Saccharomyces cerevisiae S288C: one gene and its partners. The protein of the gene in region 2 purifies or fractionates together with the protein of the main gene of each other region. This does not show direct contact. Each region holds a gene or a part of one and is shown on either strand. Other genes may lie near its edges. The genes, in order: ENO2, TDH3 and ENO1.

Region 1 (11,176 bases), on a different chromosome or scaffold from region 2:
ACCTAATCCTATGGTCAATCGCATGATGATACCACTAATTGTCCATGACGAGGAGCCCTTTGGCTCAAAAAACGAATAAATACCCAACAACAATAGGCATCGTACAGTTTCGATATCTTGTAAAATTATAACACTACGAAATTTTTTCATGGCCAAAAAAGCCAAATGTTCACTCAGACACTCTTCGTCCTGAGAAACCATACCAGCACGCTGTAAAGTTGTACAACCAATAGCCATGATCATGTATACTTTGAAAACAAAGCTGTCAGGGTAGTTTTTGTTGTCATATAACCTTTCGAAATCAGTAATTGTCGCGGCGTCATTTAGGAATGCTATTTTATCAATCATGGGAAATAGACGGTGATTGTGTTTGAAGTATGCGGCAATGAACCTGTCCAGTAAGGATCTATCAATTGACTTGAACGAGCCATCCTCTCTGACCCACGATGTTGTTCTACCACCTTTAAAGCAACAGGACATAGTTTCAAATTCGATCGAGGATGCATCAACCGGCACAGAATCGAATTTCCCATTGGGGGCTGAATTGTTTGCATATGGGGTAAGACTCAATTGCGGTGTGTTGGTACTGCCATTGTTATTATCGTGGTTAACATTACTGCCGTTATCCCCGTTGCTAGTATTGCGATTGTTGTTTTGTAGCGGTACGGCTTGGGCGTTCGCAGGCACATGACTGCTAATTAGTGGTGAAGGCGTGTTATATCCTCCGAATGATGAAGTTGTCGAACTTTGCTGCACGGAAGCTGGCAATGATCGGGAAGGAATCATGGAATTTTCATTAGAGGATAAGTGCGAAGAAGGATTAGAATTATCATTCAGCGATGTTAGCACCGAAATTAGCGATGAGACACCTTCGCTAGAATTTGGACTTGCCCCCATGACAAGATTTATTGGATCTGACGGTTTTAGCTGTTTCATCTTATGTGCATCATCGTTTTCGTAAGGCGAAAACCCGGGAGTTATAGCGCCATTTGCGGATAGCGGACTAGAAGAGTTTGGCATGCTCTTAGTGCTCAATGGGCTTTTTCCTACCTTCTTGTTCCTTTTCACTGGAACATATTCCCCTCGTAGCATAGCATCCGCTAACTCCTTCTTGGTACGTCTTGGGGCTCTACCTGGATATGAACAGTGTGCCCCATTTTTATCGCAGTTTGCACATGTCGGTATTTGTTTACCACACTTCTTCTTTAATTTTCTGCATCGTGCGCACGAATACAATTCAGTAGTACGTTGTGATCTCCCGCCTTGATGTGCAAAATTGGGACCATCCATGTCCTTCTTTTACACCTTTGTATTAATTTTTTAGCCCTGTACGCTCGGATATTATACCTCTTGTTACGTAGAGGAAATAACCGAACCTTGCCAAGAACTTCATTGTCGGTGTTTTATTTCGGAAGCTTATTTTTCTTTTAGTATTTCCGCTCGCCCTATTTTTCCCGTGGTATCGGCCTTGTCGTTATATTCCCTGCGGGTGATGGCGCCATGAATTAAATGCGACGCTATATAATAAGCTAGTAAAACAAGATATATTATGTGAAATTAAGTAGACAATCTGTCGGAGAATCTTCTTGGCATATATAGTATAATCGAGTGTAGTTTTCTTCCCGTTTTCCGTTGAGATTGAAGCCTTTTTTTTGTTTCAATTCCTGATGTTCATCAAAATAGAAGGTTGCAAGGAACGCATTAAATAATTCGTGAAATTTACAACTTTTGCATCAACAATGGAGTAAGCCACTCTTCATTCTTGAGTGTATTACCAGCATTAGTAGTGTTCTAAATGATTCAACAGTGCTAAGCGCTTCTTGTTTTTTTTTTGCACTTTTGCTTTTATTCGGGTTGAAATCGTCGTACACATTACCACAAGTACCATTGTTTCAATGATGAATCCGTTTATATATGCGTAGCGAGTAGATATAGAATCTGTTAACATAACTTCATGCCTTCTTGTCTTAGAACATTCCTATACGCGAGAACCGCGCCGCGAAGAAGAAGCCACAGAAACATAAACGTATCCTCAAGAAGTCTTCGAGCTTTAAGTCGTTTCTCTTAGTCTCGCTTTCACAGTGTTACTGCTATCATTTCTTCACTCCTGGAGGCAAACGGATATTCTATAGAAGAAATTGGATGAGGACAAAATGTGTTGTTGCAACTTTAACTACGTGAGAAAGGTGAAAGTAAGGTATTAGAAGAGAGGACACAAGAGTTATAATATCAGTAACTTTCGAAGTGGGTATCTCACATGGTTTTGATTGGGGTTCTCGATTGTTTTGCCCCCCTGGTTTATTCATTTTTCATAACAATGCCAAGAACCGTTTTTAGGTTTGATTTCTCAGTTCCCTTGCGTTTCTTTCTCTGGAAATTTCATGATAGAATTACAAATTTGGATATGCTTGTTAGTATATGATACAATGATGGAGGTGAAAATCAGATGGTCCTATAAATAGTTTTTCGAAATCCATCGATGGTAGGGAACAACAAGAACAAGCACCCTCCTGTTTTTTTAAAACCCTTTCTGAAAAACACACAATTGGCTGCCCTTTCTATGTAGTGAAGAATCCTTTTGGAATATGAGCGGTACTTTAGGTGAACCTTTCAGCAATTGAAAGGATGCTGATCTTCTACTTTGAGTATTGGTGGGATTTAGGATTGCTTGATGTGTTGTTTTTACTAAATGTTGGTGGATGTTGCATGCTGTCTGGCGCATGAATCATTTGGTATTGTGTTTGAGCCGGGGGATTCATACGAGGAGCTGGCAAAATATAAATGCCATCTAGGTTCTTGTTGGTTGTGGAGGTGGTTATGTTTACATTTGGAGGATTAATAGAATCTGTGACTGGTTTTGGTTGTCGGTAATCATGCACAAGTATATGGTGTACTGGGGGCATCATTGTTGGGGCGATAGGCGCCTTAGAGTGATTGCATTCAGGACCCGACCTCGAAGAGTATGGATCGATATTTTGGTATGGTATTGGGCTCAATGTATTGGAGGAGTATATCACTGAAGGCGACACGCCACGCCGTTCATAAGGTGCTGCAGTAGGTTGTTGCGGGAGAGTATTGTATGTATTGCAGAAAATCATAGGTTGTGAGACCGTACGTCTCAATCCAGGCTGATAGTTAGGATTGTAAACACCAATTGGTTGTGGCTGGTGCTGCATATACGGGAGAGGTAATTTATTCTGTTCATCTATGGGTAAGAGATATTGTTGCTGTTGTCGGTGCTGCTGTTGGTGCATTTCTCGAGGAGCGTTATTGAAGGTGGTTAAAGGTAACTGAACTGCGGTCCTAACTGGAATATTTCCAGGATGGTTGTTATAATTGCTCAAGAGATCACAATAGCTCGGAGAAGATGATAAAGACCTGCGCGTTTTATAATTATGAGCTTTGGTTCTGCCTCTCTCATTATTTTTAGACGGGTTAGATCTGCCATTTCCTACAGCAACTTTTTGTAAAGCATCTAATAGTTTCTGTGAAGGTCGAAATTTATGGAAGAAAGGATTTTCTGAAGGTCTCCTCAAACTTCCTTGATGAATATCCTTTTCCGTATAGTACGCAATAAGATGAAATGTTTCCAGCTTAGTGCTGTCGGTGGGATCCATATTGAATTTTAGAGAAAATGTTTTTTTCAGTAGTCCAGTATAAAAATACTTCCTATGAGCCCTCTCGAAGATATTATACTCAGGTACATTATGCAGCGGTAGATCGTGCGTGGAACCCAGCCTATTATACTCTCTATATACGAGAAATTTGCCTGAAATTCTTGAAGGAGACCAAGAAAAACCATCTGTCCATCTTTTGATGCCGGATTTCTCTTCGTTGAAAACAAAAATGTTTCCGGGGTTGACTAATTCAACCTTTTCTGCATCATATGGCCTCCGTTCGATGCATCTCAAATTTCCATTGAATACGCCCTGGAAAACAAGGGCTAGATCTTGCTCGTCGTCGATGTACCCATAACAGGTAGGGCTGATATCCATCATTCTTACGCTTACTCGTCGATCTCCTTTTCCTATCTATTGTTTGATTAATTATCTTAATTCGTGGTTCCCTTTTTTCTCGCTTTATTTGTTTGTTTTGTTGAAGAAGGGCTTACAAGAATGTACGTATTAAATAATAATTCATACAAATAAACAGGGAATGATACATAGTAGTTCTCCCGCAGCAGCTACGTATGAATTACCCGCCTACCCGGTACTATAAAGAAAGAATAAGTGGGCGTCGATTATGAAGATTTACTAACTGCAATTATCATTTTTTTGATTTTCCTCAGTCCCTTAGGTGCGTTTTTGTGTTAATGCCTATTTTTTTTTTCTAGGCTTTCTTCTTCACTTCCTCTTTCCTCTTGAATTTTGAGGAATATACGACCGAGAAAAAGACAGACTACTTAAAAAGTTGCCAGAGTGATTAAAGTTCCGGGAACAAGGCTAAAATACGTTTACAACATATTCTTCCTTTTTTTTCCACATAAAAAGGTTAATAGTCATAGTCATATGTTAGCGTGATTTCAACTTAAAATTAGAGATTATTAGATAATTTTTTTTTAAATGACGGCCAAGAAAGTGAAAGTCTAAAAGGAACGTTTATCGCTTAATTTCTCTCTGCCTCAGATTCATACGTTGTTAAGATCTTTAAAAGGATGGCCTTTGCAGGATACTGAGGTTTATGCTGGCGCGCCTGTGCGGATTTTCCAGATTCAAAAAGAAAGTTTTCTTTTTTTTTTACATGGGAACTGCGTAGCCGCGAAGCACTGCAGGCCTTTCAGAGCAATTTTTGGCGCTGCCTTTTAAAAACTTACATTAAGGTTCGCTATTGCCGAAACGGAAGAGGCGGAAATTTAAGTATTCGTTAATTTTACGGTGGCGGTACGGTATATTCTGCGTAAGCAATCTGCGGACGGCCGGATTATTAATCAATGTTTGAAAAAAAAAGATAGCAGAAGTGAAGATTTCTTATTTTAACAGCGATAAGGTATATACATGAGGGAAACGAAATATTAAGCGGCACAATATGTGTTTTTTCTATACAAGTACATTCCTTTTTACGTTAAGTATGTGGCGCCGGAAGGAAGTATGGTGCTTTTTTTTTCTTTAGGGCTTGTGCGTGTTCCGCTAGAAGCACATTTCTTTCTTCTTTGTCTGTATAACTACTGTTTCTTAGATCGATCAGTCTATCATCCCATACAACTGGTTCGAAATGACCGACCCTACGTGGAATGCTATTCAGTAGTTCCTGTAGTTCTGCATAGTATTCCAGGTCCTTTCCCTTTGGGAAGTTGTGCGTTCCGCAGGCATTAGAGTCGAAAGTTGTAGTTATCGGTAAGCTTTTACAGAATACTTCGACCATAATAGCCGCCTGTAGTTCCGACAACGGGAACGGGATGACCAACTGCGGGGTCAAGATAAAGGACAGCGTAGGATCTTTTACATAGATCATGTGCTCCCACAAATTGTGCAGATTGACAGACGAGTGCTTGTCGCCAGTAACACCCTCACCTAGCACTTCCAGTCTAACGGAGGGCTCTATAAATGGAAAGCTGTAATAATAGCCTGTGGCGAAAATAATGTAGTCTATATTCTGAAGTACTCTTCCATCAGATAAAGTAACTGAACGATTTTTCCAATCGGCACTGTCTATTGTTTGGACAGTCTCGATTAACTTGGCCTTCAGTTGATTGCTCGCAGGCTCTTTTATACTATTATATACTTTCTTTGCAACGGTAGTTAGTTGGTTGGCAATATCTTGGCCGGAACTGCCGTTTCCCACCACAATAACGACTTTTTCACGGGCAAACTCGCAGTTTTTGAAATCCTTAGAATGAAAGGCGCCCTTATTGTCGAACCATAGATCGAGACCTGCGATATTAGTTGGTAGTTTAGGGACACTGTAGTGACCAGACGCAACAATAACGAAGTCAAAATCCGATTTAGTAGTCCTTAGTTCGTCTTTAGATGTTATCTCCCATTGAGAGTTCTTCTTCTTTAAGTAGGTAACTTCGGTGCTGAAATGGATGCTGATAGCATCTTTGTTGGCAATGAACGTTTTGTAATAGGCTTTCAAGTATTCCCAAATGTTTCTTCGAGACGGATATAAAGGGACGTTTTCCTCGAAGGGAAAGCCGCTAAACTGCATTAACTTCTTTGATATATTGGTTTCCAAATGGTCATACATGACCCTCCCATCACTTTTTTGTTCTGGATAATGCCAGACACCGCCAATATCGTAATCCTTTACAAATATTTCTATTTCAAAATTTGGAAGACTTTGCGAGAAAACTCTTGCAGCTGCCAACCCTCCTGGCCCCCCACCTATGATTGCCAATCTTTTTTTGTCATTCACTGTCATGCCTAGTTACTTCTTGTTATTTCTCGCTTCCTGCTTGAATTTTCTGTATTATTGTATTTTCGACTTGTATAAAAACAGTGGCCCATTTAAATACAGTCCCAAATAACGACTGCGTTTTTGCAGTGGCATTTATCCTTGATATGAGGCTACAGGATTATCTTGCATAATGGCTTTTCTCGGCAAAAAGATGTCTGGCGCTTCCTATGTAAAGGTAATATCATGTGATTAAGAGTGAAAAGAGGAATTTAAAAGGTAGAAAAGGGTTCATGGAATCTTTCATAAAGCAGAACATTAATACTTGCCGCGTTGAAATGAGGTGCGATTTCGTGTTGTGGACGGGACATTAAATTCATCACTTATATAATTAAATATAACGTTATAGTAGATCGTCTCAAAACGGTATAACAACCCGCGCCCACCCTTAAATAGTATTACTTTTGTTCAAGATTAGCTCGAATGGTCGCTGGCAAACTGTTGAAGAACTAGATCGTTTCATGATTAACATCTTGGCGACGCAGAAGTTAATGATATAGAAATAGTGGACTATTTTGATTACTGAGGCTGTAGCCAATAAACGATAACATAAAGGGGGGGATATATAAACTTGTGTCAAAGACTAGTAACGTACGAGTGCTAAATATTATACATGTAATGTTAACGTAGTTTATCATTATACTCAGTGGGAACAAATAAAGGGAAGGGTATGAATGAGGAAGAAATACGAAAAATCCCGGATAAAAACAAAATAGATACAAATAGTATCAAATTTGTAATATTTGTCACCATCTTAATGGCAGGCGAGGGAGCTGTCATCTATCTCAGGACTATACGAAGTACACCAGCTGTAATTACCCCATATTGCCCCACACACGACAGCTAACATTAACCAACCATTATAAGTCATGAATACAAGCATGAGCATGAATGAGAATCCCACTTGCAAACCATATAGAATACTATTGGACACTTTGTCGGCTTGGTTGATCTTGGTCAGAGATCTATTTGGTAACAATACTCTCTGGGATAATTGTCTCTTATGGACACAGTACTTTAAGTACTCATAGAGGTAGGCTAGACCAAAAATTGCTAAACAACTTAAAATCAGTCCAGGCAGGGTCTTGATATGCCACCATTCAAAGACGACACACGTATTCTTGTATGACCACGAAAATAGCATATTCATCGAACAGGTATCATCTCCATCTCCCATATGCATATCACTGTGGTCGTGGCCCGCATTTCCTTCCATCTTGTGATTCATGCTATCCATCTTTTTTGAGTATCCAATTAACGAAGACGTTACCAGCTGATTGAAGGTTCTCAAAGTGACTGTACTCCATGTTTTCTTATCATCCATGTAGTTATTTTTCAAACTGCAAATTCAAGAAAAAGCCACGCGTGTGCACCTTTTTTTTCCCCTTCCAGTGCATTATGCAATAGACAGCACGAGTCTTTGAAAAAGTAACTTATAAAACTGTATCAATTTTTAAACCTAAATAGATTCATAAACTATTCGTTAATATAAAGTGTTCTAAACTATGATGAAAAAATAAGCAGAAAAGACTAATAATTCTTAGTTAAAAGCACTTTACAACTTGTCACCGTGGTGGAAGTTTTCACCGGCGTAGACAGCCTTGTCACCCAATTCTTCTTCGATTCTCAACAATTGGTTCAACTTAGCCAATCTTTCGGATCTAGCTGGAGCACCAGTCTTGATTTGACCAGTTCTCAAACCGACAACCAAGTCAGCAATGAAAGTGTCTTCAGTTTCACCAGATCTGTGGGAAACCATAACACCCCAGTTGGCAGCGAAAGAGTCTTGAGCAGCCTTGATGGATTCAGACAAGGTACCGATTTGGTTAACCTTCAACAACAAAGCGTCAGCAGCCTTCTTTTCGATGGCGGTAGCAATTCTAGCTGGGTTGGTGACAGTCAAGTCATCAGCAACAATTTGGATACCAGCGGTCTTGAAGAAGTGAGACCAAGCTTCCCAGTCATCTTCAGCAAATGGATCTTCGATGGAGACAATTGGGTATCTCTTCATCAAGGAGTGGTACATGTCAGCTAATTCGACACCAGTCAACCACTTGGATTTGTCAGATTCTGGGTTCTTGAAGTCCAAGTCGTACTTACCGTCCTTGAAGAATTCAGAGGAAGCACAGTCCAAACCGATCTTGACCTTACCGTCGTGACCAGCAGCCTTGATAGCGTCAACAATCAAGTCCAAAGCTTCTTCAGCGGTTTGAATGTTTGGAGCAACACCACCTTCGTCACCGACGTTACCGGCAGAAGCACCGTATCTCTTCTTGGTCAAAGACTTCAAGTTGTGGTAAACTTCGGAACCAATTCTCATGGCTTCAGCGAAGGTCTTAGCACCAGTTGGAGCAATCATGAATTCTTGCAAAGCCAAAGCACCACCAGCGTGGGAACCACCGTTCAAAACGTTCAAGAATGGAACTGGCAAAACGTATGGAGAGGTCTTGGACTTAGACAAGTCAGCCAAATGTTGGTACAATGGGACGTTCTTTTCAGCAGCAGCGGCTCTAGCAGCGGCCATGGAGACACCCAAGATAGCGTTAGCACCCAACTTGGACTTGTTGGCGGTACCATCCAAAGACAACAAGAAGTCATCGACGGCCTTTTGGTCCTTAACATCTAGGTTGGCCTTGACGAAAGCAGCAGCAATGACGTTGTTGACGTTGTTGACAGCGTTCATAACACCCTTACCCATCCACTTGGATTTGTCTTCATCTCTCATTTCCAAAGCTTCGTGGACACCGGTGGAGGCACCAGATGGAACAATGGATCTGAAAACACCCTTTTCGGTGGTTAATTCGACTTCGACGGTTGGGTTACCACGGGAGTCGTAGACGGATCTAGCGTAAACTTTAGAGACAGCCATTATTATTGTATGTTATAGTATTAGTTGCTTGGTGTTATGAAAGAAACTAAGAAAAGAAAAATAAAATAAAAATAAAAGATTGAGACAAGGGAAGAAAAGATACAAAATAAGAATTAATTACAATTGCGTTTGCTATAAATACGTTTTTAACAATCAACTCTGGTAGGAAGATAATGCTTTTTTTTTTTATATATGCTTGGTGCCACTTGTCACATACAATTCTACAACCTTCGACAAAAATCCAAATGATAGTAAGATCAAAGCCAGAAAGCAATGGAGAAAAAAAATTAATGAACCACGATGAACCAAATGATCAATACAACCAAAGAAACTACCCTAGTGAGGTGTATGCTGACTTGGTATCACACTTCATGAATTTTGCATATGGCAAAGTCCACGAAAGTGGGCTTCAGAAAAAAGGCGTGCGGTGTGTAGATGTATCAATTAGTGGATGCCAGTTTTGGAACGGGATTCCACTTTCCGCAAGTTGGTGCACGTCGTTAGTGACATAACGCCGCGTTCATCTTTGGGAAGAAGCAGATGCTGAGCGAGGAGGTACTATAGAGTAAAGAACCCTTTCTATACCCGCAGCGTCGACACTTGAACTATCATAAAAGTCGAATTTTTCAGTACTTAACTCTTGAGTAAAGTTTATGAGACACTTCCGAAAAATGCTGGACGCGTTGCTAATGTATTCAATCAGCTTCTGAATTAATTCCAGGGCGGCATCTTCTTGGTAACCAACATCTTCCTGACCGCCATTGTTTGTACGATAGCCTTCGTTTAGTGTTTTCATCATCCCGCTTTTGTGTTTCTCATATAGTACGGGGTCCAGTTGACATAATTTTGCTCTCATAGATTTGATGAACTTGCAAAACTTATATACAATGTCAAATATTTGTAACTGTAGTGGAATCAAGTCAGACAAGCAACGATTTGTCATTATATTTGTTAATCCACCTTCTAGCTCATTTTGGATGGCAACGGCAAGAGTAGGATTTCTGTAGCACTTTTCTAATGAGTATACCTCTTTATCAATTACGTTTTGGTTGAAATATTCCATGATGGTTTTAATGAAGTGGTTCATCTTAGCATGCAGCACTCTCGTTGCCCTTACTATCCTCCTCTTCACAGTGTGCGAATAGCCTCTGTATTTCCAGCTGGGTGTTTTGTTTAAGTCCATCCAAGTCTCATCCAAAAGCCTTGAGTGGTATTGTAAAACTAGTTGGTAGCGCAGGATTATTTGGTATTTTATCATGCATGTCCTACTAATAATAATATTCAATGGATAAGGTATGTTGATGTCAAATTTTAAATGATAAATTGCGCTTTTTGGAGTATATAGTTCTAGATTGGATCCATGGTAGGCTCCCGTTCGTTCTTTGCTTAATTCATCAAAAAGAATGGCATTCATATTCTTGAAATTATTCGCGTGCATCAATGGGTCGCTGTCGTCATTTGCTGAGTTATTCTCAGGTACTTCTGGATAAATTTGGAGGTAGTGCGATAAGACTTGTGGAAGTGTTTCTGTATCGAACTGTATCATCAGGAGTTGCCTCATCAGGTTGTTTGGATTTTCGGATTGTCTCTCTAACTCAAAATTTTGTAGCAGCTTGTCATAGTTTGCATTATTATCATTCCTGTAGTGTTTGGTCAACTCACCCATATTTTTTGTTAGAAACTTTAAAACATTATGACCAGATTGATACCCAAGAAAAATTTGTTGCAAATGTTTTAATACATTGATCAAATCGTAACCTTGAAAAAATAGCTTTAAAAATATTTCATTGGCTCTGCTGTAACATTTATCCACGTAAAGTTCAAGATTAGAACCCTCCATTAAGTCAGCGAAATCATTGATTTCTTGAATGGTTATATCACTGCTATTAGAAGGTATGGTGGGTATTTGTAAGC
Region 2 (10,864 bases):
GTTAACCGTTTTACAACTGTCATTATATGGTAAGTTGCACGGAGAAATGGCCAGAGTTCTGAAGCCAAAGCATATTTTAATCTACAGGCTTCTAATTTCCTGGGCAACTTATTTTCTTCTTTCCATTGGATTCTGTACCGTATCTGCAATTTTTAGGATCGATTTCACCCCCGCCTTTGGCAGAGGAGGATTCGTAGTATATTGGATGTCTACGTGGTTGGTAATGATGGCTGTTGGTGGTGCCAATGAAAACGTTCTCAGCTTAGTTATAGCTTACTGCCCTCCATACCTGAGTATTTGGTTGATGACGTGGATCATATTAAATATTTCTGCTTCATTCTACCCAATGGTTTTGAACAACGAATTTTACAGGTACGGCTACATAATGCCAATCCATAATGCCGTGGATATCTATAAAGTGATTTTTTTGAATTTAACCAAAAGAAAAATGGGAAGAAATTACGGTATTCTCGTGGCATGGGTTGCCCTCAATACATCCTTGATGCCATTTTGTATGAAGTTTGCAGGTAAAAAAATGCAAAAAAATGCTATGCAAGCAGCAGAAGCCGCTGTCGCAGCAGCTACCCAGCGTGCTAGCCGCCCGGCAGAGGCCAATACTGATAAAAATAACAACCCGCCCGGAAATTAATGGGTAGGGTTAATAGCTTATTCATATATACACTTAATACGATTAAAAATTATTTATATTCTCATCATCATAAGATGAAGATGCAAATATCACAACAATTATATAACGTCGTTTGTTTGTTTGGTGACACATTAGTGTTTCATTCCGGGTAGCTATTTTGTTTTTCTCATGCCAAGAATTCTGTAAGGCACTTAAAAGTATTCCTAAATACCACTTTCATACATGGTTAACAAGGTAAACACAAAACTTGCATTATAGTTAAAAGGGACTGTTTGATCATTACCCTTTTTCTGGAAAGCGGATATTTATTATGAGCACTGAACAGGTCGGTAGAAAGAAATCGTATAGATGGGTTAGCGCATCTCAAGCAAGTTATGACGGCGCTGGATGGGACAGTAGTGACGAATATGACTACTCTTCCGAGGATGGCACAAAAGGTTCAGAAATTCACAAGCAAAAAATATCTAATTTGCCTAGTTTACCCAAGCTCAATTATACAGATGTTAATGGTGAGCATGATGAAAATACGGGTGAAAATAAAGACAGCAATGATAATAACGTCAGTAAGAGTGATATTAGTCCTAGTGACAAGGAAGTAGGCTATCTCTCAGATGGGGTGCCTAAACTTATGGCTTCAAGAGAGTCTGTGGAATTACAAGCGAAAAAATCCAGCGAGCACTCCAAATCAGATTATCTTTCGTCGACAGCATCTTTGAAAAGTCCAAGTGAAAACAAAAAATCACCACATACAAATAGGGCTGTAAACGAAGACCTAGACAATTTGATAGAGCAAATATCAAGGGAGATGACACCAGAAATTAGGCAAACATCTGATTTTCGGCGTGATTCAGACAGTTGTGACGAAATCCAAAACGAAGCACCATTAGGGGAAGCGGTACCCTCTTCATCATCTCCTGTAGAAGAAGATGAAAAATCACATTCCTTAGGGGTTTCAATGGATACTAATGAAGCTGATACCACTTTCAATACGCCAACAAGGAATGGAAATGAACATTTGAGTAGTGATGGCGATGTTTCTGAGCAGAAAGACGACGAGTTTAAAGTTTCCGAAAGAGGCTACCTTGCAGATATTCTGCCTGCGGAGAAAGAGGAGAATTTACAACAAGAAGATGATGGTGAAGTCGAGAGCTCAGGAGCTTTGGAAAAGAAAGAAAAAAGTGAAGAAAAGACTAGTATTAGGAATAGGAACTCTACATCTAGTGGGCAAGATAAAGTAGCAAAGCCGAAACCCGTAGCAAATGAAACAAAAACTAGTGATAATGGATATCGAAATTCTTTTTTCAATGATTATCAGCATTCGTCAGACTCTGAAGAAGATGATAACAACGAAGGCAACAGTGGTAGTAGTGATGATGATAATCGATCTTCGGTTAGTGATAAACATGCTGATATTAACCGGCAATCGAAACAACTTGATACAACTGACGATGATGCATTGTCGTATACCGAATCAATAAAATATTCGACAAATGAGACAGAAGAAGAAGATAATGAAGATAATGAATCCATAGAAGACAAAAACGAAGATAATGAATCCATAGAAGACGAAAATGAAGATACAGATAGCTATAAATTTTCTAATAGGGAAAAAGGTTCCATTCTACTTACGAGTGATGAAGAGGAGGAGGAAAAAGGTATGAGCTCTGATTCAGATGAAGGCAGTCTCAAGGCGCCCAAATCAGGTTATTTCTCCAAAATGATTGGTAATGATGATAAAGGTGATTCAGCATTGCAACCTAATCAAATAGACACCATTGAAAATACCAATTTGTCAAATAGCGGTTCTGAATTGGAAAACAGCGATGGCAGCGATGAGGAAGACCACATAAATGAAGACAAAGTTTTGGAAGAAAGTTCAGTTAAAGACTCCACTGATGTTGATTCTTGGAAGCCGGACAGTGAGGCCTTACGATCAGGGTTCGTACAGGATACAGCCAATAAGAAAGCGCCACCAGGTTACGTGATCGATTCTAACGGGAAGCTAGTAGATTTAACACCTGCTAGTATGAAACCACGTGTTGTATCGACTTATTCAGAGATGGAGAGTACTTGGGATGCATTCCCTTCCAAAGGCGAAGATGACGATTTGGAGACAATCAGGGACACTAAGACTATATACGACAACAATACGATTTATAATGTTCCCGGTTTGATTGGTAACCAATCGAATTTGCCACCTCTACCGATGGACGCACAGGAACAATTAAATGCAGGAAACGATAATAGTACAACAGATAATGATAATAGTAACAATACTGCCAATGATTTGGCAGCGCGCAGTGCATCTTTCAAAAGTGAAAACAGAACAGTATCTCAAGGCGAAATGACAAGCGTCCATGAACCCAGTACTGAAGAAATGGCGAAATTGGGGCAGCAGAATAACTTACCGAAATTAGATATGAATAAACTACTGAACAGTAAGACTTCGCACGCCGGTAAGATAGAACAGTTGAGAAATTATAAGCGTGAGCTAGATGAATATGATACGGGGATACAAACATGGATAAATTATACGCTAAAATCATCCTCTAATAAGGATAAGGATTTCATAGCTGAGGAGTATAAGCAGCATAGTCACGTTAGGGAAGCATATGCGAACGCGGACGATTTGAGTAAGAAGCATACTGTCATTAACACGGTTGCTAGTGTCAACCAAAATGTAACGCACTTAAGGAGAAAAGTTTTCCAGCATTCTATGAAACCAAAGGATTTATTCGCATCAATAGGTAAGAAAAAACTGTAAGCGTTTTGCTTTACGGTAGAAACACGAAAATGTAAATGCGTTCAATTTTCAATTTTACTGTTTTTTATGTACTTTTATATAAACAGTGGCAATTAATGGCGTTTTTTATTCTACCTAGCAGAGGCGTTACTGACTCTTTTCTGAGCATGTTTCCTCAGTTCTTCATCCATCAAATCTCTTACCCTATGAGCACCTGCGATGCCGATGGCAAGAACGTTCTCTAACCTATCTAACGGAATTTTGTCTTCCACCAATAAAAGAGAAAGTTTTTCTGACTTCCCTACCACACCTAGTGTCACTGTACTCATAGCATTTTCTTCTAATGAATTGGTATCTAATAATGGGGTAGTATCGTACAGCCCGACGGATATACCACTTATGTAATCGAACATTGATATACCGGCATCTATTAAAGCGAGGGTAATACCGTTGATTAAAGATCCCATAATACCGCCATCTTGCTCAAGGACATGGATCTCGATATCGATAACTGTTCTGGGGTAGATATTCAGCATGACATTCTTCTCAAACATCCTCACCAGGGAGGTTTGTATCTCAAGAACACGCCTTTCATTCTTGTGGCTTGATTTACTTCTTTCGAATTTGGAGAATTTTGTAATGTTTACCGATACGTTCAATAAAGCCTTTGAGGTATCCATTTGAGATTTCAATCTTGGCTCTTTTGGACCTTTAACAAGAGTGATAATTTTGTTGTTACCTTGTTCCATGTAGGATGAACCGTCTGCAGCGTGCGGATGTGTGTTGATGGAACTTTCAAAACGGCGGAGTTCATTCCATCGACGTCCATCGAGACGTAGCCCTTCTGGCGAGTATATTTCTAGTCTTGACATATGATGATCCTGCTGTAGTTATGGCACTAAAGTTTTTTTGTAAATCTTTTTATATGTTAATAGATTTTACCAGTGGGACCCTGGAAAGAAAATATGTGTAAATGATGTTTTCTTTTGGATGATGTTCATTGCACAATGGTTCGCAATGTCATTCATTCATCCATTTCTTCTAGCTTTTCAATTATTAATGCCTTAAAATTTTTCAATTTCACCGCGTTACCCGAAGATGTAAATGTACCTACTCAAATAAAAGGTTCCTTGCTGGTTGGCTTTCGTAGCTAAATTGAGTGCACGTTACAAGATTATAAATGCGTTTATATATATATATTCCAGTGAATGATCTACTTTTGCTTAAGCGGCAGAATTGCAAATCTTAATTTTTCTTTTTTGTTTATGTTTTATTTCCTTGTGACAAATAAAATTTTTTTCTCTTCTGAATTTTTAAAACTAAAGAACAAAATATTAAAATAAACAAACAATTCTCCACTTTTTCTTCTTTTGGTATAGAAACTGATAGAAATGTCCTAGACCCTTAATAAGCAAAACACTCATCATTATAACGGGAAAAAATTTGAAGCAAGCTCAAAAGAGATATATATATCATCCAGCATAGACTACTATTAATTTCTATCATAATTGCAATAAAAAAGGAAATATTTAGGGGATCAAGACCATTATTCCATCAGAATGGAAAAAAGTTTAAAAGATCACGGAGATTTTGTTCTTCTGAGCTTCTGCTGTCCTTGAAAACAAATTATTCCGCTGGCCGCCCCAAACAAAAACAACCCCGATTTAATAACATTGTCACAGTATTAGAAATTTTCTTTTTACAAATTACCATTTCCAGCTTACTACTTCCTATAATCCTCAATCTTCAGCAAGCGACGCAGGGAATAGCCGCTGAGGTGCATAACTGTCACTTTTCAATTCGGCCAATGCAATCTCAGGCGGACGAATAAGGGGGCCCTCTCGAGAAAAACAAAAGGAGGATGAGATTAGTACTTTAATGTTGTGTTCAGTAATTCAGAGACAGACAAGAGAGGTTTCCAACACAATGTCTTTAGACTCATACTATCTTGGGTTTGATCTTTCGACCCAACAACTGAAATGTCTCGCCATTAACCAGGACCTAAAAATTGTCCATTCAGAAACAGTGGAATTTGAAAAGGATCTTCCGCATTATCACACAAAGAAGGGTGTCTATATACACGGCGACACTATCGAATGTCCCGTAGCCATGTGGTTAGAGGCTCTAGATCTGGTTCTCTCGAAATATCGCGAGGCTAAATTTCCATTGAACAAAGTTATGGCCGTCTCAGGGTCCTGCCAGCAGCACGGGTCTGTCTACTGGTCCTCCCAAGCCGAATCTCTGTTAGAGCAATTGAATAAGAAACCGGAAAAAGATTTATTGCACTACGTGAGCTCTGTAGCATTTGCAAGGCAAACCGCCCCCAATTGGCAAGACCACAGTACTGCAAAGCAATGTCAAGAGTTTGAAGAGTGCATAGGTGGGCCTGAAAAAATGGCTCAATTAACAGGGTCCAGAGCCCATTTTAGATTTACTGGTCCTCAAATTCTGAAAATTGCACAATTAGAACCAGAAGCTTACGAAAAAACAAAGACCATTTCTTTAGTGTCTAATTTTTTGACTTCTATCTTAGTGGGCCATCTTGTTGAATTAGAGGAGGCAGATGCCTGTGGTATGAACCTTTATGATATACGTGAAAGAAAATTCAGTGATGAGCTACTACATCTAATTGATAGTTCTTCTAAGGATAAAACTATCAGACAAAAATTAATGAGAGCACCCATGAAAAATTTGATAGCGGGTACCATCTGTAAATATTTTATTGAGAAGTACGGTTTCAATACAAACTGCAAGGTCTCTCCCATGACTGGGGATAATTTAGCCACTATATGTTCTTTACCCCTGCGGAAGAATGACGTTCTCGTTTCCCTAGGAACAAGTACTACAGTTCTTCTGGTCACCGATAAGTATCACCCCTCTCCGAACTATCATCTTTTCATTCATCCAACTCTGCCAAACCATTATATGGGTATGATTTGTTATTGTAATGGTTCTTTGGCAAGGGAGAGGATAAGAGACGAGTTAAACAAAGAACGGGAAAATAATTATGAGAAGACTAACGATTGGACTCTTTTTAATCAAGCTGTGCTAGATGACTCAGAAAGTAGTGAAAATGAATTAGGTGTATATTTTCCTCTGGGGGAGATCGTTCCTAGCGTAAAAGCCATAAACAAAAGGGTTATCTTCAATCCAAAAACGGGTATGATTGAAAGAGAGGTGGCCAAGTTCAAAGACAAGAGGCACGATGCCAAAAATATTGTAGAATCACAGGCTTTAAGTTGCAGGGTAAGAATATCTCCCCTGCTTTCGGATTCAAACGCAAGCTCACAACAGAGACTGAACGAAGATACAATCGTGAAGTTTGATTACGATGAATCTCCGCTGCGGGACTACCTAAATAAAAGGCCAGAAAGGACTTTTTTTGTAGGTGGGGCTTCTAAAAACGATGCTATTGTGAAGAAGTTTGCTCAAGTCATTGGTGCTACAAAGGGTAATTTTAGGCTAGAAACACCAAACTCATGTGCCCTTGGTGGTTGTTATAAGGCCATGTGGTCATTGTTATATGACTCTAATAAAATTGCAGTTCCTTTTGATAAATTTCTGAATGACAATTTTCCATGGCATGTAATGGAAAGCATATCCGATGTGGATAATGAAAATTGGGATCGCTATAATTCCAAGATTGTCCCCTTAAGCGAACTGGAAAAGACTCTCATCTAAAATATGTTTGAATAATTTATCATGCCCTGACAAGTACACACAAACACAGACACATAATATACATACATATATATATATCACCGTTATTATGCGTGCACATGACAATGCCCTTGTATGTTTCGTATACTGTAGCAAGTAGTCATCATTTTGTTCCCCGTTCGGAAAATGACAAAAAGTAAAATCAATAAATGAAGAGTAAAAAACAATTTATGAAAGGGTGAGCGACCAGCAACGAGAGAGACAAATCAAATTAGCGCTTTCCAGTGAGAATATAAGAGAGCATTGAAAGAGCTAGGTTATTGTTAAATCATCTCGAGGGAAAAATTCAAAAATGCTAAGTGCAATTTCCAAAGTCTCCACTTTAAAATCATGTACAAGATATTTAACCAAATGCAACTATCATGCATCAGCTAAATTACTTGCTGTAAAGACATTTTCAATGCCTGCAATGTCTCCTACTATGGAGAAAGGGGGGATTGTGTCTTGGAAATATAAAGTTGGCGAACCATTCAGCGCGGGCGATGTGATATTAGAAGTGGAAACAGATAAATCTCAAATTGATGTGGAAGCACTGGACGATGGTAAACTAGCTAAGATCCTGAAAGATGAAGGCTCTAAAGATGTTGATGTTGGTGAACCTATTGCTTATATTGCTGATGTTGATGATGATTTAGCTACTATAAAGTTACCCCAAGAGGCCAACACCGCAAATGCGAAATCTATTGAAATTAAGAAGCCATCCGCAGATAGTACTGAAGCAACACAACAACATTTAAAAAAAGCCACAGTTACACCAATAAAAACCGTTGACGGCAGCCAAGCCAATCTTGAACAGACGCTATTACCATCCGTGTCATTACTACTGGCTGAGAACAATATATCCAAACAAAAGGCTTTGAAGGAAATTGCGCCATCTGGTTCCAACGGTAGACTATTAAAGGGTGATGTGCTAGCATACCTAGGGAAAATACCACAAGATTCGGTTAACAAGGTAACAGAATTTATCAAGAAGAACGAACGTCTCGATTTATCGAACATTAAACCTATACAGCTCAAACCAAAAATAGCCGAGCAAGCTCAAACAAAAGCTGCCGACAAGCCAAAGATTACTCCTGTAGAATTTGAAGAGCAATTAGTGTTCCATGCTCCCGCCTCTATTCCGTTTGACAAACTGAGTGAATCATTGAACTCTTTCATGAAAGAAGCTTACCAGTTCTCACACGGAACACCACTAATGGACACAAATTCGAAATACTTTGACCCTATTTTCGAGGACCTTGTCACCTTGAGCCCAAGAGAGCCAAGATTTAAATTTTCCTATGACTTGATGCAAATTCCCAAAGCTAATAACATGCAAGACACGTACGGTCAAGAAGACATATTTGACCTCTTAACAGGTTCAGACGCGACTGCCTCATCAGTAAGACCCGTTGAAAAGAACTTACCTGAAAAAAACGAATATATACTAGCGTTGAATGTTAGCGTCAACAACAAGAAGTTTAATGACGCGGAGGCCAAGGCAAAAAGATTCCTTGATTACGTAAGGGAGTTAGAATCATTTTGAATAAAAAACACGCTTTTTCAGTTCGAGTTTATCATTATCAATACTGCCATTTCAAAGAATACGTAAATAATTAATAGTAGTGATTTTCCTAACTTTATTTAGTCAAAAAATTAGCCTTTTAATTCTGCTGTAACCCGTACATGCCCAAAATAGGGGGCGGGTTACACAGAATATATAACATCGTAGGTGTCTGGGTGAACAGTTTATTCCTGGCATCCACTAAATATAATGGAGCCCGCTTTTTAAGCTGGCATCCAGAAAAAAAAAGAATCCCAGCACCAAAATATTGTTTTCTTCACCAACCATCAGTTCATAGGTCCATTCTCTTAGCGCAACTACAGAGAACAGGGGCACAAACAGGCAAAAAACGGGCACAACCTCAATGGAGTGATGCAACCTGCCTGGAGTAAATGATGACACAAGGCAATTGACCCACGCATGTATCTATCTCATTTTCTTACACCTTCTATTACCTTCTGCTCTCTCTGATTTGGAAAAAGCTGAAAAAAAAGGTTGAAACCAGTTCCCTGAAATTATTCCCCTACTTGACTAATAAGTATATAAAGACGGTAGGTATTGATTGTAATTCTGTAAATCTATTTCTTAAACTTCTTAAATTCTACTTTTATAGTTAGTCTTTTTTTTAGTTTTAAAACACCAAGAACTTAGTTTCGAATAAACACACATAAACAAACAAAATGGTTAGAGTTGCTATTAACGGTTTCGGTAGAATCGGTAGATTGGTCATGAGAATTGCTTTGTCTAGACCAAACGTCGAAGTTGTTGCTTTGAACGACCCATTCATCACCAACGACTACGCTGCTTACATGTTCAAGTACGACTCCACTCACGGTAGATACGCTGGTGAAGTTTCCCACGATGACAAGCACATCATTGTCGATGGTAAGAAGATTGCTACTTACCAAGAAAGAGACCCAGCTAACTTGCCATGGGGTTCTTCCAACGTTGACATCGCCATTGACTCCACTGGTGTTTTCAAGGAATTAGACACTGCTCAAAAGCACATTGACGCTGGTGCCAAGAAGGTTGTTATCACTGCTCCATCTTCCACCGCCCCAATGTTCGTCATGGGTGTTAACGAAGAAAAATACACTTCTGACTTGAAGATTGTTTCCAACGCTTCTTGTACCACCAACTGTTTGGCTCCATTGGCCAAGGTTATCAACGATGCTTTCGGTATTGAAGAAGGTTTGATGACCACTGTCCACTCTTTGACTGCTACTCAAAAGACTGTTGACGGTCCATCCCACAAGGACTGGAGAGGTGGTAGAACCGCTTCCGGTAACATCATCCCATCCTCCACCGGTGCTGCTAAGGCTGTCGGTAAGGTCTTGCCAGAATTGCAAGGTAAGTTGACCGGTATGGCTTTCAGAGTCCCAACCGTCGATGTCTCCGTTGTTGACTTGACTGTCAAGTTGAACAAGGAAACCACCTACGATGAAATCAAGAAGGTTGTTAAGGCTGCCGCTGAAGGTAAGTTGAAGGGTGTTTTGGGTTACACCGAAGACGCTGTTGTCTCCTCTGACTTCTTGGGTGACTCTCACTCTTCCATCTTCGATGCTTCCGCTGGTATCCAATTGTCTCCAAAGTTCGTCAAGTTGGTCTCCTGGTACGACAACGAATACGGTTACTCTACCAGAGTTGTCGACTTGGTTGAACACGTTGCCAAGGCTTAAGTGAATTTACTTTAAATCTTGCATTTAAATAAATTTTCTTTTTATAGCTTTATGACTTAGTTTCAATTTATATACTATTTTAATGACATTTTCGATTCATTGATTGAAAGCTTTGTGTTTTTTCTTGATGCGCTATTGCATTGTTCTTGTCTTTTTCGCCACATGTAATATCTGTAGTAGATACCTGATACATTGTGGATGCTGAGTGAAATTTTAGTTAATAATGGAGGCGCTCTTAATAATTTTGGGGATATTGGCTTTTTTTTTTAAAGTTTACAAATGAATTTTTTCCGCCAGGATAACGATTCTGAAGTTACTCTTAGCGTTCCTATCGGTACAGCCATCAAATCATGCCTATAAATCATGCCTATATTTGCGTGCAGTCAGTATCATCTACATGAAAAAAACTCCCGCAATTTCTTATAGAATACGTTGAAAATTAAATGTACGCGCCAAGATAAGATAACATATATCTAGATGCAGTAATATACACAGATTCCCGCGGACGTGGGAAGGAAAAAATTAGATAA
Region 3 (3,808 bases), 120 kb from region 2:
GTTTAGACATTGGCTCTTCATTGAGCTTAGAACCCTTTTGGGCAGAAAGATATCCGTCGAACAACGTTCTATTAGGAATGGCGGATAAATTATTTAAATTATATCACACTAATTTTCCTCCTGTGGTAGCCCTAAGAACTTTTGGTTTGAATCTGACGAATAAGATCGGTCCAGTTAAGAATATGATCATTGACACATTAGGAGGAAATGAGAAATGAGAGGTATGTAAATAGAAATAGACTAGCTCCACTTTTAAGAATTATTTATGCAATTAAATACATGGGTGACCAAAAGAGCGGGCGGATACACGCGTCACCACAAGCAGAATAAAAGGTAAACCTGAAATTGTTTTAACATAAAATGAAAAATGCTTGTTTGCAACCCTATATAGAATCATAAAACATTCGTGACTATAAAATGAATAAACTAAACTATTCTAAGAAAATGAAATAAATGACAAAAAAACGTGTTTTTTGGACTAGAAGGCTTAATCAAAAGCTTTATAATTTGTCACCGTGGTGGAAGTTTTCACCAGCGAAAACAGCGTTGTCACCTAATTCTTCTTCGATTCTCAACAATTGGTTCAATTTAGCCAATCTTTCGGATCTAGCTGGAGCACCAGTCTTGATTTGACCAGTTCTCAAACCGACGACCAAGTCAGCAATGAAAGTGTCTTCAGTTTCACCAGATCTGTGGGAAACCATAACACCCCAACCGGCAGCGAAAGAGTCTTGAGCAGCCTTGATGGATTCAGACAAGGTACCGATTTGGTTGACCTTCAACAACAAAGCGTCGGCAGCCTTCTTTTCGATAGCGGTAGCAATTCTCTTTGGGTTGGTGACAGTCAAGTCATCAGCAACAATTTGAATACCAGCGGTCTTGAAGAAGTGAGACCAAGCTTCCCAGTCATCTTCAGCAAATGGATCTTCGATGGAGACAATTGGGTATCTCTTCATCAAGGAGTGGTACAAGTCAGCCAATTGAGGACCAGTCAACCACTTGGATTTGTCAGAGTTTGGATTCTTGAAGTCCAAGTCGTACTTACCGTCCTTGAAGAATTCAGAGGAAGCACAGTCCAAACCGATCTTGATCTTACCGTCGTGACCAGCAGCCTTGATAGCGTCAACAATCAAGTCCAAAGCTTCTTCAGCAGTTTGAATGTTTGGAGCAACACCACCTTCGTCACCGACGTTACCGGCAGAAGCACCGTATCTCTTCTTGGTCAAAGACTTCAAGTTGTGGTAAACTTCGGAACCAATTCTCAAAGCTTCAGCGAAGGTCTTAGCACCAGTTGGAGCAATCATAAATTCTTGCAAAGCCAAAGCACCACCAGCGTGGGAACCACCGTTCAAAACGTTCAAGAATGGAACTGGCAAAACGTATGGAGAGGTCTTGGACTTAGACAAGTCAGCCAAGTGCTTGTATAATGGGACATTCTTTTCAGCAGCGGCAGCTCTGGAAGCAGCCAAAGAAACACCCAAGATAGCGTTAGCACCCAACTTGGATTTGTTGGCAGTACCGTCCAAAGAAATCAAGAAGTCATCGACGGCCTTTTGGTCCTTAACATCAATGTTAGCCTTAACGAAAGCTGGAGCAATGACATCGTTGACGTTCTTAACAGCGTGCAAAACACCCTTACCCATCCACTTGGATTTGTCACCATCTCTCATTTCCAAAGCTTCGTGGACACCGGTAGAAGCACCAGATGGGACAATGGATCTGAAAACACCCTTTTCGGTGGTTAATTCGACTTCGACGGTTGGGTTACCACGGGAGTCGTAGACGGATCTAGCGTAAACTTTAGAGACAGCCATTTTGATTTAGTGTTTGTGTGTTGATAAGCAGTTGCTTGGTTTTTTATGAAAAATAGCTAGAAGGAATAAGGGATTACAAGAGAGATGTTACAAGAAAGAAGTAAAATAAATTTGATTAATATTGCCATTATCAAAAGCTATTTATATGTTGAAATCGTGGAGATCATGTGTGCCAGAAAAGGCCACAGTTTCCGGGGAGAGGCATACCTTGAGGTGGCTAGGAATCACGGAGACCTCTTGACTTGCAGGGTAGGCTAGCTAGAATTAAGTGAGGTGACAAGGTTTCCATACAGTTTTGACCTTGAGACGTTGCTACTTACGATTTGCAGTATGCAAGTCTCATGCTGCAAACAAAAGAGGACCGCTCAGGTAATCGCTCAATTAGTGGACGTTATCAGGGGCGGGAGAGGCGAAAGTGGTTTTTGGTGGTGTAAGTAAAGGTCGTCCAAATATGCAGGTGTTTGGGTGCTATCCTAGTGGAAGCTCGGATCAGTAGATAACCCGCCTAGAAGCGGTATTTTTCTTTTTTTTTCTTCCTTCTTTTTCGTCATTATTTCAAACGCTTTTGCGTCAAGTAATGAATATCTGGCGGTTCCGCGGTAATGCGACAATTTGTGATATGCACTCTTAAAACCCCGCCACGATGATCGCACGTGCCGGCATTTATAGACGACTTTTCTGGTTGTCCCGCTTCACGGCACATGCATGCATCAATGACCGAATTCAGGTTGCTACTAACCATTGTGTTGTGTTATTGCTGTGCATGAGGTGCTCAAGTGCCCGCGGCATCTGACTAGTGGTAACTCTAGACGGCTTCGATGCAGAGAGTTCCTCAAAATTTTTCTTTTCAATTGTTTGCCTGGTTTCCGCGGCGTATATCAGTTTTTGGCGATATGGTAACGCGATACTCTACGGCACCTTCACGGTAGATGTCTTTTTTAAAAGTGACTGTTAATTCCAGGATTGAAAGGAAGTGTCGAATAGTATAGTATGCTTTCTACACTTATAGTACACTACTAGGTGTATCAGATCAATTGGCCCTTGATAAAAAGCGCTGAGGAAGGAAGGATTCCTATTTTGACATAGCTTTCAATATAGGGCCATTTATATCCATGTTATATATACAATATACTTATGTGTCAATTATTAGAATTGTTGAAGACATTTGTAGGTGAGAAAGTTTCTTGTTTGTCGAGAAGAATTTGAGTCATAATCTTTATATCAAATAACTCTGGATAAGTGCTGTGCATTTCAATAACATGTTGTAATTACTATATATTAATGAAGATAAAAGCTCAGGTTCATCGCATGTGGCGCTATAATGCTTTTTATTTGATAATGTTCCACTTGTATTTTTTTTTTTTTTTAAAAAAATTATCTTTTTTTATAAAGTATGTGAGAAAGAAATAACAAAACATGAACTTTTTTCAAGAATAATGTAGCCCAAAAAGTAAAAAAGGACACTTTTGCAACTACTGCTGAAGACTTTTTACTGAAATGAATTGACTATCAAACATATTATAAGCCAAGCATAGATGAAAGTACGCCGATTTTTTATTAAGCGTGCAAACATGAATGTAGCCCAAGTCCGTAAGGATAATTTAGTGCTTAAATTAAATAAATCACTATTCACGAAAATATTTTTGAAATTTCATTATACAGGGTTATCATAAACCAAGACCGGTGGCAAAAGAGTAACCTAGGAAATTGGACAAGAGAGCGCTATAACTATAGAATACAAGTCAATAAGAACATAAATTCCAATTGTCTAATATAACTAGAAAGGATGTTCTTAACTAGAAGTGAATATGATCGTGGTGTAAGCACATTTTCCCCAGAAGGGAGGTTATTCCAAGTTGAGTATTCTTTGGAGGCCATCAAATTAGGATCTACAGCAATTGGTATTGCCACGAAAGAAGGTGTTGTACTAGGTGTGGAGAAACGTGCCACCTCACCACTATTAGAATCTGATTCTATTGAGAAAATCGTGGAGA

What was found.
Region 1: the proteins of TDH3 (region 2) and ENO2 purify together in Saccharomyces cerevisiae (affinity purification with mass spectrometry; 2 studies listed by BioGRID, with this or other methods). This does not show direct contact.
Region 3: the proteins of TDH3 (region 2) and ENO1 purify together in Saccharomyces cerevisiae (affinity purification with western blotting; 2 studies listed by BioGRID, with this or other methods). This does not show direct contact.

The regions. Positions count from the first base shown.
Region 1 is NC_001140.6:449,413-460,588, reverse strand, and holds ENO2 (phosphopyruvate hydratase ENO2), read right to left. Parts: upstream 9,263-11,176; coding exon 7,949-9,262; downstream 1-7,948. Other genes in the region: STB5 (Stb5p), read right to left, coding at 1-1,290; ROF1 (Rof1p), read right to left, coding at 2,637-3,998; FMO1 (N,N-dimethylaniline monooxygenase), read right to left, coding at 5,062-6,360; YHR175W-A (uncharacterized protein), read right to left, coding at 6,882-7,031; CTR2 (low-affinity Cu transporter), read right to left, coding at 7,148-7,717; YHR173C (uncharacterized protein), read left to right, coding at 9,436-9,774; gamma-tubulin-complex subunit SPC97, read right to left, coding at 9,783-11,176.
Region 2 is NC_001139.9:882,282-893,145, reverse strand, and holds TDH3 (glyceraldehyde-3-phosphate dehydrogenase (phosphorylating) TDH3), read left to right. Parts: upstream 1-9,335; coding exon 9,336-10,334; downstream 10,335-10,864. Other genes in the region: SNG1 (Sng1p), read left to right, coding at 1-649; FYV8 (Fyv8p), read left to right, coding at 960-3,413; exosome non-catalytic core subunit SKI6, read right to left, coding at 3,524-4,264; XKS1 (xylulokinase), read left to right, coding at 5,271-7,073; PDX1 (Pdx1p), read left to right, coding at 7,405-8,637. UniProt on the Saccharomyces cerevisiae protein: Glyceraldehyde-3-phosphate dehydrogenase (GAPDH) involved in glycolysis and gluconeogenesis. Catalyzes the reaction of glyceraldehyde-3-phosphate to 1,3 bis-phosphoglycerate.
Region 3 is NC_001139.9:998,933-1,002,740, reverse strand, and holds ENO1 (phosphopyruvate hydratase ENO1), read right to left. Parts: upstream 1,815-3,808; coding exon 501-1,814; downstream 1-500. Other genes in the region: putative N,N-dimethylaniline monooxygenase COQ6, read left to right, coding at 1-218; PUP2 (proteasome core particle subunit alpha 5), read left to right, coding at 3,601-3,808.